Alligator mississippiensis: one gene and its partner. The protein of the gene in region 2 interacts with the protein of the main gene of each other region in a pairwise test. Links are inferred from orthologs where the notes say so. Each region holds a gene or a part of one and is shown on either strand. Other genes may lie near its edges.

Region 1 (7,633 bases), on a different chromosome or scaffold from region 2:
GCACCCTGGATCTGTGCACAGGGCAAGGGCGGGCTGTCGCTGCAGACTTTGCCCTGAGTGCCAAACTTCCTTGCCAGGGCACTGAAACAGGGTAACGTTGTACCAGATCCTCTCCTTACAGCTCAGCTGGTCTTAAGGTAACCAGTAATGACCCTGTGAGTTTATTACATTCATAATAAAGGAAGGAGGAAGAAGAGAGGCAAAGGGAGATGAAGAGAAGAGGTAGACTGAGAAAAGCATGAGTGACTGAGACAGAGGGAATGCCCCTGGAAGAAGGTCGGTCAGCAGCCAATCCCTAGAGGAAAAAAAAAAGTATTCAGCATTTAAGTGGAAGAAGGCAGAGTCTGATGACATTGCCCATGCTGTGAAAGTTGCTATTTCCAGAAGAAAAATCTCCACTCCTGGGACTTGTTGACACCTGCCTCTGCTCCCCACAGCTTCTGTATCTAAAGGGAAAAAGCTGCCTGGAGCTTTGTGACCCTAGGGGGTGCTTTCAGAATGGGGCTTTCCCAATTTCCTCTGAGGATGGAGCTCAGTAGGCACCAGTGGAACCTTATCCACCATGTCCCAATTTATTGTACACTTCCTCAAGCTCCTGCCAAGCTTTTTTCCTGGGCTTCACTCTAACAGCATTTTGGGTGTACAGGAGTGCAGGTGTGATTATTGTAATGAGTGCTCAGGTGCAGGGATATGGGTTTTTCGGACTGGTCTGTTTTGAAAGCGTTCTGAGTTGGTGTGTGTGTGTGTGTATACATACATACATATATATATATGTGTGTGTGTGTGTGTATATTTCCCAAAAAAACCCAACTTTATAGTCGGCTACTAGAGAAGTGTGTTTGGGAGGTGGCCTTTTGGCTCATATCAAGTGTAGGGGGCATCCAGATCCCAAGACCTCTGGGCTTGGGCCTGCATGTTGGATGCCTGCCAATGGATTTAGGAGTAGCTGAAGTCCCAGAGTGAGAGCCTAGGCTGGAGGATGCTAGCCAGTTGTAGCGCCATGCATGGTGTTTAGAATGATTACGTTCTGCCTGATCGATTGATATGGTTTTTGGAATGCTTGAGTTCTGTCCAATCAATATGATTTGGCTGATTTGACCTGGAACACAAAATGTATATTTTAAAAAATCCTGTTTTTTTTTCCTTCAGCCCTTGGGTCCAAGTGAGAGGGGGTTGCTTAGAACCAGGTAGTGGCCTGGGGAGCTGCCACAGAGGGGGTTCCCTTGCCAGTCTGGTTTGGGAAACCCACTTGTCTGGCTAGTTCTGCCACAGTAATCTGAATTATGTTGATAGCGAGGAACATCTGTTTTCAATATTATGTTAAAACACAGATTAGAATTACAGTAATAACAAACAATTAGTTTTTGTTAACAGGGACTTGCATGTAAAAGTTGCGCAATGTCATATGACTCCATAGCTCATACGCTTTTGACAATGAAACAAGGAACCCAGTCATGGGAAGCATAACACAAGTCTTCCTGCCTTGATTAAAATCTCAGGCCATATAGCAGATAAATATGTGTTTTAGCATTGCCATTTTTATTATTTTAGGATAAATGCATGAGTCATGCCCTCCATCTACTAGGTATCACAAAGCTGCAGCATATCACATTTCAAAACACTGCATTATGGGAATATGAGTTTATTTTAAAGGTGCAGATAGTTATTTCTGCATATGTGAATATCCTCCTAGTCTAGTGGATCAACCTGACGCACCTAGAAAATATGGAGTGGGTGAGAATCTTATTTTCTGAGATGAACCTAAAAAATACGTAGTGGGCAAGAATCCTATTTTTATAAAATATATTGTAGTATTTCAAGACTATTGGCACAAAAGGCACCGTGCTAACAATGGGTGGATCAGTCATCTGTATGCACACTTGTCATCATACACTCCTGTTCCTGCTTTTGCTGGAACTTTATCCATACTATAAAATTTGAGCAGTGTAAAGCTGATGGGGCAGGAGTGGTGGCATGTAACTGCTACTGATGTTTTTCCCCAGTAAAACAGGGAAAGAGGTAGGGCTGCTTAGAGAGATTGGGATGCCCTTAATGGTACCTACTCAGCAACAGCAAGTTGAAGGTGACCAAAGGTAGTGAAATGAAGAAGGACTGGTGTTACTGGTCTCTCTTGTCAGGATGGTGGTGATGCAGAGGGTGGGGAGACATGGAGACCAGTATGTCATCAGTGGCTCTTGTGCTAGTGCAGCTCCTGCATTACAATGACTTAATTGCTTTTTTCCATATCTCAGTGTTGTCCCAATCAAAACGCTGCAGCAGAAACTTCCCTGAGATTGACAGAAAGGTAAATCCTCTCAAATTGTCCATGGGGTGAATGGAACTCCAACCAGCTTTTCTGTCAGAGCCATCAAGGTATAATCCTCTGTGAAGTTGATGAGGCAGCCTGGGGAAAGCATAGGTGAAACCAGTGAGGCAGAGAGAGGTGGCCGGTTACCAGAATATATGAATTCCAGATATGCAGGATGTGCGTCCTTTAACAGGACAGGAGGGATTGTTGAGCTCATTTGTACACATTTTTATTACTTTGTGTACATTAAACAACTTGAGGGGAGGAAGGATGGTATAGCAGATAGGACATTGTACTATGGCTTCAATGCTTGGCTCAGCCACAGGTCTCCTGTGTGAATTTGGGCAAACCACTTGTTTAATGCTATGCCTCGGCTTCCCAACTGTAGAATGGGGTTCGGATACATTCCTGATAAACGCTCAGATACTGCATTGATGAAGGTCAGATAGAAAAATAACGGCCATCACGCAGAGGTCCAGGCTTAAACCCGGAGGTTCCTGCCTAGAGGACCTTATGGCTTCACTCGGGGTCAAACTGATTGCCATGGTTGGGGTCAAGAAGGAATTTCACCCCATGGTCAGGTAAGTATGGACTGTGGGGAGGTTTTGCCTTCCTCTCTAGAGCGGGGGCCCTCTTCCTGGGATCTTCCAAGTGTATATTAACAACCCTTGCAGTTGCAGGATGTTGGCTGCCATGGTCCCCCTGTGTTACCTGTGGCAGATAAAGGTGCTGTATTATGGTTGACTGTAGTTTTACTGAGAGGTCAGGCCAGTGGCTCTCAGCCTTTCTGGACTGGAGGCAGCCCTCCATAACTTTTGTGAACTGAGCGACACCCATTTTCAAAAACTAATGTACAGATTATAGCGCTTACCTCCTTATGCAGGGGCTGAGCAGTAGGGGTGGGAGATTGTCCAGACAGGGACACACTTGAGCCTGGCTTATTTCCTCATACCTAGTGGCACCCTGCAAAAGATCTGGTGGCACCCCAGGGTGTCCCAGCACCCTGGCTGAGAATCATGGGGTTAGACGATAGACTTGTTTTTGGGATGGTTTGGCTAGGAACGATCCTGCCTCAGGCAGGGGGTTGGATTAGATCAAGTGTTTCATGGGTCATAACCCAAAAATGGGTCACAAGAATATATGAAAGGGTCATGAACAAACTTAAAAAAAAAAAAATTGATCAACAAACTTTAAAAATGGATTGTCTTTTAAAGGAGAAAAAATGTGGGAAACGACGGCATTTCCCTTGCAGGCTGGCAGAGCTCCAGTCTGTGAGGGGCTGCTTGAGGTTGCCACTGGCCCCAAACACTGTGGGGATCGGGCCTGGTGGCAGTGGGTTGGGGGTGAGAGGCACTGGGTTGGGACTGGCCATCGATGTTTACAAATGGGTCCTGGTATAAAAAAAAATCCAGAACCACTGGACTAGATGCCCTTGGGAGGTCCCTTCCTGCTTTATTTCGCTAATACTTCATGTCAGTTTCAGGACTCCTATTGTATCATGCCTGCCTCTCTCTTCCCAGACATTTTATAGTTCTTAATGTGGTTGCTCCCTTGAAATCAAGTCAGATAACAATAATCATAATAATCACATTAATAAAATAACCATCATTATTGCCACAATTATCACACTAATAAAATAATAATCATTATCACCATAATAATCACAATAATAAAATAATCATAATAATCACAATAATACTGATAATAAATCATCATAATAATCACAATATAATACATAATAATAAAAAATAGCTATCACGATAATCACAAGGATAAAATAATCATCATCATTATCATATTATGAATTATAATTCATAAGCTGAGAAAAAGCTAATTTTGAACGAGTGGGTGAAGGTGGAGCATTTGCTGCGGTGGGAGGACGCATGTTTGTCCCATAGCTAAAGCACCGCAGGAGCAACGGGACAGACGCTGTCTAGGCAGCCACCGCCGAGGCGAGCGGGAGCAGCTCAGGGCCGCACACTCCAGGCACTCCCAGCTTCGCCCACTGCAGCGGCACCTCCCCCTCCCAGAACTATAGTCCCCATGATGCAAAGCGCCGCCGCGGGGCCTGTAGAGAGCTGGGTTCCTGACTTGACCCCTCTCTAAGCTGCCCTACAAAATGCCTGTCCAGAAACAGTGACGTTTCCCAGGGCACACCGCCTTGGGCGGACGAGACAGCCCCTGCCTTCCGGGCAGCTGCTCTCTGAGCGGCCCATGGGCTCCGGGCCCGTTCCGTTTGGGCAGCGCGCCTCTTGGCCTGTCCTCAGGCGCTTGCGTGGACGTCTCGTTAGGGCTGAGGGGAGGGGAGAACTCGGAGGGGGCGGGGCCTGGCGCGCGCGGGCTGCGGAGCGGAGCGGAGCTACCATGAGCGGCAAGGAAGGTGACTGGCGCGCCCCTCCTCCACCCCACGGAACGTTGGGGCGGAGGCGACGTCACGCGGGAGGGGAGGGGGCTGCCTCGCGCGGGCCACCTGGCGGCCCCCGACTCTGGGGACACCTGCCACACGGGCCCGAGCTGTGACGTCGGCAACGGCCGCTCTCTGCAGGCGCGTTCGCGGCACATGGCAGCGCCCACGTCGTGGCCCTTTGTGACGTCCGCGAGGCGGCCAGGCTCCTAACCCAACCCCTACCCCCAGCCCGGCAGCCTGCGTTGCCTGGAGACGGGGGGGCCGGCTCCCATCTAGGCCCAGCCCTGCCTGAGGCAGGAGCACCGTTGGCCAGGCCAGTGGGGTGCAAGCAGTGTGGCCAGGGCTGCCATCATTGTCTTGCTTGTGCGAGGATGTCAACGCTTTTGTGATGCACCATGCACGTGCAATCATTTTTCAGGCAACTCATTGATGTGGCACATGACCCAAGTGCCTCTCAGGGAGGCTTAATCGGCTTTTGGGTCTGCTGTCAGCGCTCCCTTATGACCAGGGAGCCTAGTTTTCTCTGAAAAAAAAAAGAAAAAAGGAAAAATCCCCAATTTTCGGTGTAAAAAAAGTAACTTAAAATGCACGTTTCCACCATTAAAATGAAACACCAGTAGTCAGTCTGTCTGTCTGTCTATCTATCTAGTGGCGTTTCATTTTAATCATGGGGAAATGTGGATTTTGGGTTACTTTTTTAAAACTGAAAATTGGGGATTTTTTTTTTAATCAGAGAAAAGCAGGCTTCTTTTATTGCTAGCCTTGCAATAAAGGCTTCAACTTGGATGACCCATTCTCACTTGCTCACTGTCGACTTAGTGAGCAGTATAAATAAGAAAAAGACTAATTAACATATTTTTTCAGCATAGGATATTTTTTTCAGCAGATACCATCATTTTGAGCTTCCAGTATGATGATTTCATATTTAAGACCTGGCAACTCTGGCTGAAAGGGACCTCCACAGGGCATCTAGTCCAACCACCTGCCTGAGACAGGACTATCCCTATCCAAACCATCCTGTACAACCCTTCATCTAAACCAGTGTTTCTCAAACTGTGGGTTGTGACCCCAAAGTGAGTCACAAGAATATATGAAAGGGTTGTGAACAAACTTTAAAAATGAAAGGAGATGAACATGGGAAACTGCGGCTTTTCCCTTGCAGGCTGGCAGAGCTCTGGCCCTGGGCTGCCTTCTGCCTGGTGTTTAGAGGCCCCTCTTGTCGCTAAAGCATGTCATGAACTCTTGTTTGTGGGGGTTGTGGAGGGGAAGGGCAGCATTTCACTTCCAACTAGGTGAATGGCACGGGGCCGCTCCATGACATGGATCGGGGCCCACGCCACCTCCGTCTTTCAGGTTTAAGCCCCCGGCCACCACACTGCCCCCACCTGACTGGAATCCGAGTCCCTGCCCACCCCCCTATGTGCCACAAATGGGCCCTGCACTCCATATTTAGGGCTTCCCACATCCCACAGGCTGGATGGCATGGCATGGAGGGGACTGGATCTTGCTCACAGGCTGGTGGCTGAGCAGATGAAGGTGTCCATCCTACAGAGCAGAGCATCTCCTTTCCTGCCCTGTGTTGAAGGGGTTGTGCCTGTGGCCAAGTTCAGATGTTGCAGGTGTAATGGCACCTTGAGCTCAGGCCCAGACAGAGACGGCAAAGTGCTGGCTTTTAGCAGTGGCGACGCATAGGGGGTGTATGAGTACCCCGAGAGCACCAGTGCACCCCTGGCTGGCTGCGCTTGCCGCTTAGGCAATGGGCAGGGGGGACAGGCAGGAGTGCTGATGCCCCCCCCCTGCAAGCGCTAGCCAGGGAGTGGGAGTGCTGTGGCGCTCTCAGAAGTGGCTGCAGCAATCGGCCACCTTGCGATTGGCTGCGGGGGACACCCCCCCCCATCAGTGAGATTGGCCATGGGGGGACTCCCCCTCAGTGGCTGACTGGTTGCTGGGGGAGAGGGGGGCACATCCCCCCCGACTAAGGCAGCACCAGTCACCCATGGCTCTTAGCTTGCCCTTTTTCAATGTAACTTGGCCTGCTTTCATTTCTGATTTGGGAACCGTAAGGATAGACAGTAAAAATAAACAAAATCAATATGTGAGTTGGGATAATATTAAACAGATAAATTAAAATGTGTGAAGTGTACCCTTCTTTTGTAGCTCTAAAGTTGTTTCCTTTAAAAGGAAAACTTTAGCTGGAGTCTCCACCCCCCATGTCAGTATAACTTATTAGAGTAGGTGCAGCATTAGTACCTAGGATAGCTTTGTGCTTCACATCTTCCTGTCTGACAAGGGAACGGGGTATTGTGACGGAGGAACAAATGCAAATGAAGATTATATGAGTTTACATAGGCTTATAAGTGGAAGCAGGGGAAGGCAAGAGGATTAAACACCACAGGAGTGCATGTCAAAGTTAAAATACAAGTTGTAAGAAATTGGTTGAGAGAGGATTGTAAAGAGAAAAAGTGACACCATTTTGTGCAGAGCAAGAGACCTGGAAGTTCAGTGTTAGGGAACAGTATAACAGGGAAAACATTACACCAGTGAGTGGGAAGGGGAGACGAGGACAAATGTGCTCGTCAGAGCATGGGGAGCTGAGAGGGGGCATAATAAGAAATAAAAATGAATACCATTAATCAGTAACAGTTACTTACATTGCTTCTTTGGCTGGGTCTCCTCTGAAGACCAGAGTCTTATGGGTATGCCAATGAGATGCTTGTAACTACAGTAATAGGGTTATTTTTATTTGAAAGGTCTCTTTACAAACTGTGGGTCCAATTCTGTAGTCTTTTGTTCACACAAGGCGTGACATTGACTTCAGTGGGGTTAAGAGTTTGCAGGGTTAGGCCTTATAAACGTATAGCACTAAACAAATTCAGCTAACTGTTTGTAGAAGGGAAATTTTGTGAAGGGACCCAAAG
Region 2 (7,784 bases):
CCTGCTTCAGGTATGAGGAGGCCTGTGGGAGGGGCGAAGAGGGCAGGGCACAGTGAGGGGGGCAAAACTGCCCCCTTAACCCTCTGCATGCCAGAGCCATCCCCTCCCCCCCCCACCATTAACCCATCTGCACCGGTGCCCCCCGAAGCCCAGGCACCAGGTTGTTCTTGGTCTTGGCCACGCTGGGGTCACGGGGGCCGAGTCGGGCCTGGTAGATGCGCAGGGCACGGGCGTAGTACTGCTCCACTGCTGCGAACTTGCCCTGGTTCTGGCACAGCAGCGCCAGGTTGTTGAGCTGCTTGGCCACATCAGGGTGGTCAGTGCCCAGGACCTGCAGCACGGAGTGGGGGGAAGAGTCAGGCTCTGCCCTGCATCGCGCGGGGGAGTGGGGGCACAGGTTGGAGGGCAGCACCTTCTCACGGATCTCCAGTGCCCGCTGGCACAGCGGCTCAGCCTCCTTGTACCGGCCACGCTTGCCGTACAGCACTGCCAGGTTGTTCAGCGTGGCAGCCACCTGTGAGGGAGAGGGGGCTCAGAGCCCAGCTCTGTGCCCACCCCCCCCCACCCCATCTACGCAGCCCCATGCAGGGTGGGGGCAGGAGCCAGTGGGGGGGGGGGGGAGAGCTACTCCAGTCCCATGGGGAGGGGGCAGGGCCAAGGGACCTCCCCTTGGCACATGCTGGTGCCCAGCCCTGGCCTGCCTCCCTGGGGCCGGACTTGGGGGTGTGGGTCAGGCCCTGAAGCCCCTCACAGGGAACCCCTTCCCCTGCCCCGCTCACGGCTGGGTGCTCGGCGCCCAGGGTCTGCTCCCGGATGTCCAGCGCATCATTCAGCAGCTCCGTGGCCTCCTTGTACTTGTTCTGGTCCCTGGCAGACGGGCAGAGCTGTGTCCCAGGGCGTGCTGGCTGGGGTCCCGCGTGCCCAGAGGTGGCCAGTTGGGATCCCGTGTGCCCCAGGCAGGGACTGGCCAGGGTCCCATGTGCCCCGGGAAGGGGCCAGCCAGGGTCCCACATGCTAGCTGGGGGGGCCTCACCGGTAGACGAGGGCCAGGATGTTAAGCATGGTGGCCACGTCGGGGTGGTTGTGGCCTGAGCTCTTCTCCAGGTCCTCCAGTGCCTGCTTGCAGAGAGGCACAGCCACCTCGTAGCGACCCTGGGCTGCGTACTGGATCACCAGGTTGTGCAGTGTCCGCAGCCGCGCCGGGATCTCGTAACCACCTGGCTGGGCTGCGTTCCCCGCCACACCATCTTGGGGGGTGACAGGCATCAGCTGGGGGCAGTTGCTCCCGGCCCCCCCCAGCCAGCAGCCAAGGGCAGATCTGGTGCTGGGGCGGGGGCAGGATGGATGGGGAGCCCTACCCCCCCCAACACTGTCCCCCGCAACACTGCCCCCAGCTTAAGCCCCCGCGCCAGCCGCCCGCACACACCCGGCCGCGTTTCCTCATCGCCTGTGAAGAGCCCGCTTAGCCCGTCATCACGCTCTGGTGCCTCGTCCTTCTCCAGCTGGGGGCACAGTGGGGCCATGAAGCAGCGGGGACCTCCCTATGCACCTGCCCCATAGGGCTGCTCTGTGTCCCTGAGCCAGGCCCTGTGCTCCAGCACTGGGACAGGGAGGTCAGGTTCTAGCCTGTGTGGGGTTCGGGGCATGGGCAGGTCCCAGTGCTCTCACCAGCTCGTCACGGCCCTCGTACTGCTTGAGCTGGTTCAGGAACTCGAGGTGCCGCTTCTCCTCCTCCAGCTGGGCCACGGCCTCCTGGCTCTGCTGCAGGCGCTGCTGGGTGCCCGCCAGCTCCTCCCACAGCCACTGGTTCTCCTGGCCCAGCCGCTTGGCCTGAGCCCGCAGCTTCTGCTTCTCTGCCTCCAGCGCCCCGACATGGGACGACAGTGCCAGCAGGAGCTGTGAGGACAGGGGTCAGTGGGGTCGGCTGTGCCCCCTCCCGCCAGCTCCTACCCCCTCCCCAGCTCTGACTCCCCCAAGCTCCAGGCTGGGGCTGAAGCAACCCCAAGGCCCCCCCAGCTCCTACCCCTGTGCCCTGGCAGCCCCACACCTGCGCCTCCCCGAGCCCCAGCTCGATGCCCTCCAAGATCCTGCAGACGAGCTCGTGCTTCTCCTCCAGTAGCTCCAGGGCCCAGTCCCCGGCAGACGGGGGTTCCAGCTCCGTCCCAGGCGCGGCATCGGGACAGCAGTGCAGGCTGCCCTGCAGCTGCAGCAGGATGGCACAGTTCTCACTGCGCAGTGCTTCCAGCCCCTTCACCACCTGCCGTGTGCTGGCCACGATGTCGTCCGCTGTTGGCCGGCCCCCAGTGCCCTCACCCAGCCCTGCCACCACCGACATGGTGTCGCCTGCCTGCCCACCTGCTGAAGCAACACAGTCCTCAGCACCAGGCCAAGGGGCAGGTGGGGGTAGCAGGGCAGGGACACGAAGGCGCTGGCAAGTCCCTGTGGGTGGGCACAGGCGGGGCGTGGGAGCTCCATGGCCCGGGCGGCACCAGACACAGCCCCAGCCAGAGGCACAGATGGGCCCCAGCTTGCCCTGCGCAGGGTGGAGCACGGGAACTGGTCCTGTCAGCTGGTGCCCAGGGAGTGCGTCTGCACTCGCTGGCCCACAGCACACATGTGAGCAAGCCCACGCGTGCACAGCTGCAGGCACGGAGCAAAGCACCGCTTGCCCCCAGACGGGGGTCCCCAGAGCCTGGCCACGGCGTGCAGCCTGGGCACGGGGGCCAAGCCATGGGGCCTGCCCAGGACCCAGCCAGGGCATCAGTGCACCTGTGCACCATCCTGCCACAGCACGGAGCCCTGCATGGGGCCACAGCCCATAGCCCGGGCACGGGTACGGGGGCCCATGACCCTGCCAGGCGCTGGGGCATGGCCCTGCAGCCTGGGCACGGAGCCTACCCCGCGGGTCCCTGCCAGGGCAGCGCTGCACCGGCACGGACCTGCCCCGGGGCACAGCCCGGGCACGGGGGCCCGAGCCTCGGGGCCCGCCCGGGACCAGCCATGACCCCCGCACACACCTGCCCGGCCGCGCCGCGCCGCGCTACAGCATCCCCGCCGCCCCGCTCACCTGCCGCTGGGGGCGGTCCCACAATGCACCGCGCCCCGCCCCCCGGGGCCGTCGTGGGCGGGGCACGCCTCGCCCAGCCCCCGCCGCCCTCCACCCCCCGGATCGGGGCCGGCCCCGCCCAGCGCTGGACAGCGGCCGCGGCCGTGCGGACCCTGCGGAGCGGGGCTGAACCCGGCGGCCCCCGGTCCGCCCCGCCCCGCCCCGCCGGGGTCCCGCAGCCCCCGTCCCGGGTCGGCCCTCCCGCTTCTGCATCTCCGTCGGGGGAGCGGGGCCGCGCCTGGCAGCCGGGCCTCGGGGTAGGCTCCTACGCCCGCCGGTGGCATCCCCTGAAGGGCCCCGATCCTCCCTCCGCCCCCGAATCTGCAGCCGCGGCCCAGGCTCTTGCAAGCGGGGCCCTGCCCGGTGCCTCAGTTTCCCTGGAAGCAGGCCCCTGGCAGTGGCTCCCGCCAGCCCTTCCATGCGGGCACGGAGCCGCCCTGGGCCCGGAAGGCGGGAGCCGCGGGGCCAGAGCCGAGCCGAGCCGAGCAGGCCGGGCCCCCGAGCCAGGTTCCCCGAGCGCCCGGCCCGGCCCGGCCCGGCCCGGCCCGGCCCGGCCCGGGAGAGGTGACACCGAGTCCCGCAGCGCCGCCGCCTCTGCACGCCCCGCCCCTCCGGGGCCGCCAGGGGGCAGCGCCGAGCAGCCGGGACCGCAGGAGTGTGCTCATGCATGGTGGCGTGTGTGCGCGCACGTGTGTATGTTGTCAGGTATCCGGATTGTAGCCCTATTGGTCTGAAGGAAAACGCAGTCGGGACTCGTAGTAGAGATAGTATCTTGTATTAGACCAACTACGTTTTTGCAACAAAAGAAGTTCTTTAATTGCAAGTTTTCAGGCGCAAACACCCTTGATGAGGCATTGGAGAAAAGATTGTGAAAGTTCTCCTGGGTCGAAATGAAAGTTCATATTTCATAGGATTTCACAGAGGAGCCAATAGATGGACTACTCCTCGCATGTGTGTTTGCTTGTGTATGCATTTGTCTTTGGGTTTGTGTGTTTGCTTGTGTATGCATTTGTCTTTGGGTTTGTGTGTTTGCATGTGTGCCTGTTTGCACGTATCTGTGTGTGCGCTTTCTTGTGAGTGCATGTGTGCTTGTGTGTGTGAGTGTGCATGTGTATGAGTGCATGTGCACATGGTTGTGCCCCCCCCCCCCCCACTCAGCACTGCCTTAGGCCACTCCCAGGCCCTCCTGTGCCCCCTGCAGAGAGGCAGCCCCCTTTAGCCCCCTCCTCCCCAGGCTCAGCTGTCCCCAGACCCAGCAGGGCCTGGCAGTCTGAAAGCCCTTGCAGGACAGCACAGCTGCCCCAGCTCAGCACAGACAGTGGCTGCACCAGGGCAGAGCTGCCTCTGGCTGTTGGGCTCAGCCCCACTCCCTGTGGCAGCTGGAGATGCCCCTAGGCTCCTCAGGGCCCTTCCCTCCCTGGGACCAGGCTTTGGCATTGCTGGGCTGGCTGGGGGCACAGGTGGCACAATGGCTCCCATGGGTCCAGCTGAGGAGAACAGAGAACTGGGCCAGCACTGGCAGGGCTTGGCCCAGTGGGGACAGGCCATAATTACCGAGCACAGCGGTAATCACAGGCACCAGCTGGGGCTGCGGTAATTAGTGCTTGCTCTGTGCCTCCCAGGGCCTGCATTGGACCTTCAGGGTGGGAGAGCCAGCAGCAGGGGAAGGGGCAGGTCCTGAGAACAGGGGCAGCAGCTGCTGGTGGGGCTGGGCTGGGGAGTCAGGGCAGGTGTCCCAGGGCAGCCCAGGGGAAGCTGGGAGGAGACACCTCCTCCTCCACCTCCTGCTGAAGTGCCCAGGCCATGGCCCAACGCTGGAGCTGCTGTGGCCCAGCTGGGTGCAGGCAGGCACTGAGCGAGGGGTCGGGCGCCAGGATGGGCCTCTTGGCGCCGTGGGCCTGTTCAGGCCAGGCCAGCAGTGCAGATACAGGCACTGTGGGAAACCCGACCTGCCTGCCCAGCTGGCTCTAAAAATACTGGCTCACCCGCCCTCCCCCCCCCCCCCCGACCGGCCCAGCCTGCTGGGATTGAATTCTCATGATCCAGCGGATCAGCTCAGAGGTCATTGCACAGGGCACCCCTACCAGGACTGCCTGGGGTGGGGGGTTCCCCCCAGGCCCAGCACCAGCTCCCCCAGCCTTGCGATGCCCCAGGGCCCAGCACAGCTGAGGGGGCAGGGTGGAGGTATGTGGGCAGGTCACTGCAGGCTCTTGCCATGGGCATGTGCATGTGCAGGCATGTGCATGAAGAAATGCAGAGCCAATTTCTGCCATCACACTTGCCTCAGTTTCCATGAGCAGACAGTGTAGGAGGGGAACATGGTGAACACCCCCTGGCCTGGAAGTGGGGTGGGGGGAGGGGTGATGATGGCAATATGGGTCCCTTGAAGGCTGGTGCAGCAGGGGGTTCAACATAGATCTGGGCACAGGCTGCTGTGACCTCCCCACCCCAACGTGTTTGGCAGGTGGGGAGTGGGCACAGGGCCAAGAGCACCTGGGCCCTGGGGCATAGAATGATGGGGCTGCAGGCCTTGCCCCACAATGCCCCCTTCCCCTGTGGTGCCTCTAGTCCCCCAGGGAGATCCTGGTTGGCCCCCAGTCAGGTGGGTCCTGCTATTTTGAGCCAGTGCCGAGCTGGTTTAGTGACTGTCGTACATGCTGCAGCCTATTCCTGGAGCTCAGCCCTTGCCCTGGGGCTGGAAGACCCCCAGATAGCCTGCTGGATTAGCTTGCCCACAGCTGCCCTGAGCACTCCTGGAGGAGCATGGGCTAGTGCCTGCCAGGCTGTGCTGTGGCTGCCCCAGGCTGGGGGGCTCCAACTTTCAGCAGGGTGCCAGGTGGTCCCATGTCCCACTCCCCCCCCCACACACACACACATCCGGCGGGGTCTCAGCACCTCCGGGGGACAGCAGGACCCAGCTCCAACCAGCTGGCTCCTGCCCTGCTGCTAATTTTGGCCCTGCCTGTGGCCACCTGCCTGTGCCGTGATATTTCCAGCCAAGATCACGCCTGGCCTTGTGATGCCCACGGCAAGGTGACCTCCAGACAGGGGCGCCCAGCTGGGGGTGCTTTGGGCCTGTGCCCGAGGCAGGGGCTGGCTGAGGTGGTGCCAGGTCCTGGCCAGGGGCAGGTGCCAGCCAGCCCGCACCCCACTCCCCTCCACACACACACATGCACATACTGTGGCTCTTCTCCAAGGCCTTGACTGGCATGGCCTGCTCCCCGGGTGCCGGGACATGCTACACACTGCATGTAGCCCCTGCGTACTCCACATGTGGGCCCTACAGATGTGCACAAGACAGGGGACACCAGTGGACGCAGCTGGGTGCCTGGGCAGGGTGGGAGCAGTAGGATTTAGGTCCTCAGTGTGTCAGGGTCACAGCCCCTTCCAGGCCTTACATGCAGGCCCCTGGATACATGTACAAACCCCAGCTTGTGCTTGTGCACCCCCCCAGCCAGTGGAGCCTGGCAGGAGCCCCAGCCTGAGCAGGGAGATCCCCCCAGAGCTGCCTGCAGGGCTGGGCTGAAACCTGATCTCCCGGCCCAGCATACGCAGGCGGGGCCCGCACCCCTCTGCACAGCTGCTGTCCCTGCACCTGCTGCCTCCACCCCCGTCCACCCCAGGGGCCCTTGAGCAGATCCCTGGGCAAGATCCAGTCCTGTTCCAGCCCCCAGAGCCAGCAGGGAGCTGGAGTGAGGCAGGGTGCCCCGTGGGCACTGCCAGCCCAGCCACAGTCCCAGGTGCCCGCAGGAAGGGCACACAGCAGGCAATCAATTGCCCAGAGGGGGGCACATGGGGGTCTTAGCAGTGCCCCTGGGACCAGCCCCTTCTGGGGAGCCTGCAGGGTCCGGCTCAGCCTGACCCCCAGCATTCCTGTCTCCCAGCCGTGGTGCCAGGGGCCAGAGCTCAGGTTACGCTGATGTGTCAAACTCCGGTGTTTGGCACAGCCCCGAGCCTGCGCCCATCCCATGCACTGGGCACTCTCCGGGCAAGGCCTCAGCCCTGCACCCCCAGCACAGAGCCCCTGCTGCCCCCCTGTCCTCGGTCTACTCCAGTGCCCACTGTGACCTCATCCCTTAACGCTTCTTCCCCGAGCCCCACTCCCTGCCAGGGGTCATTGTGCCTTTTGCACCTGGGAGCTGCCCAAGCCACTGCTCCCCCAAGGGCACTGGGGATGTCCCGACACCAACCAGGCCCTGAGGCCCGAGACCAGTCTCAGCACCCTCCCAGGCTGATGCCCACCACCAGACTCTGTGGGGTGGACGTGAGCTGGGCCCCAGGACTGTTCCCCCCCATAAATCATGGTGCCCTGCAGCTGCTGGCCCCTTCCTGCTCTGGGGTTGGATCCCTGGAAACACGATCTCAGCTGCTCTGCTCTGGTGCCAGCAAGGGCCCGGACAGGCTGGGTTGCTTGGGTGGGGGCCAGGGCACTGTGAGCCAGCACCGCATTGCTGCCTATATAAAGTGCTGGGCCGTCGGCCATGGGGGCGAGGGGCGGGTGGCTGGGGGGGTGAGGGGGAGCAGCGTCATGTGCTCCCATCCCAGCCAGGCCTTGCTCAGCACCCTCAGGCTGGTACCTGAGGGGATGGGCTGGTGCCAGCACTGGGGACCGCCCCCTGGCAGGGCAGGGCAGGGCAGCCGGGCACGGTCCCGGGGTTCCCATGGTGACTGCGGGGGG

What was found. The genes of interacting proteins can lie anywhere in the genome.
Region 1: the proteins of KLC3 (region 2) and TSNAX interact in binary tests that used the Homo sapiens proteins (3 or more experiments, as listed by UniProt). The two-hybrid records come from large-scale screens. The link is inferred for Alligator mississippiensis from reciprocal best matches to the Homo sapiens genes KLC3 and TSNAX.

Annotation. Positions count from the first base shown.
Region 1 is NC_081824.1:149,870,814-149,878,446, forward strand, and holds the start of TSNAX (translin-associated protein X), read left to right. Parts: upstream 1-4,626; 5' UTR 4,627-4,672; coding exon 4,673-4,688; intron 4,689-5,772; exon of another isoform or gene 5,773-5,788; intron 5,789-7,633.
Region 2 is NC_081838.1:168,948-176,731, reverse strand, and holds the start of KLC3 (kinesin light chain 3), read right to left. Parts: upstream 3,005-7,784; 5' UTR 2,762-3,004; coding exon 2,048-2,761; intron 1,897-2,047; coding exon 1,669-1,896; intron 1,503-1,668; coding exon 1,427-1,502; intron 1,248-1,426; coding exon 1,034-1,247; intron 868-1,033; coding exon 780-867; intron 515-779; coding exon 413-514; intron 332-412; coding exon 158-331; intron 23-157; coding exon 1-22. UniProt on the Homo sapiens protein: Kinesin is a microtubule-associated force-producing protein that may play a role in organelle transport. Plays a role during spermiogenesis in the development of the sperm tail midpiece and in the normal function of spermatozoa.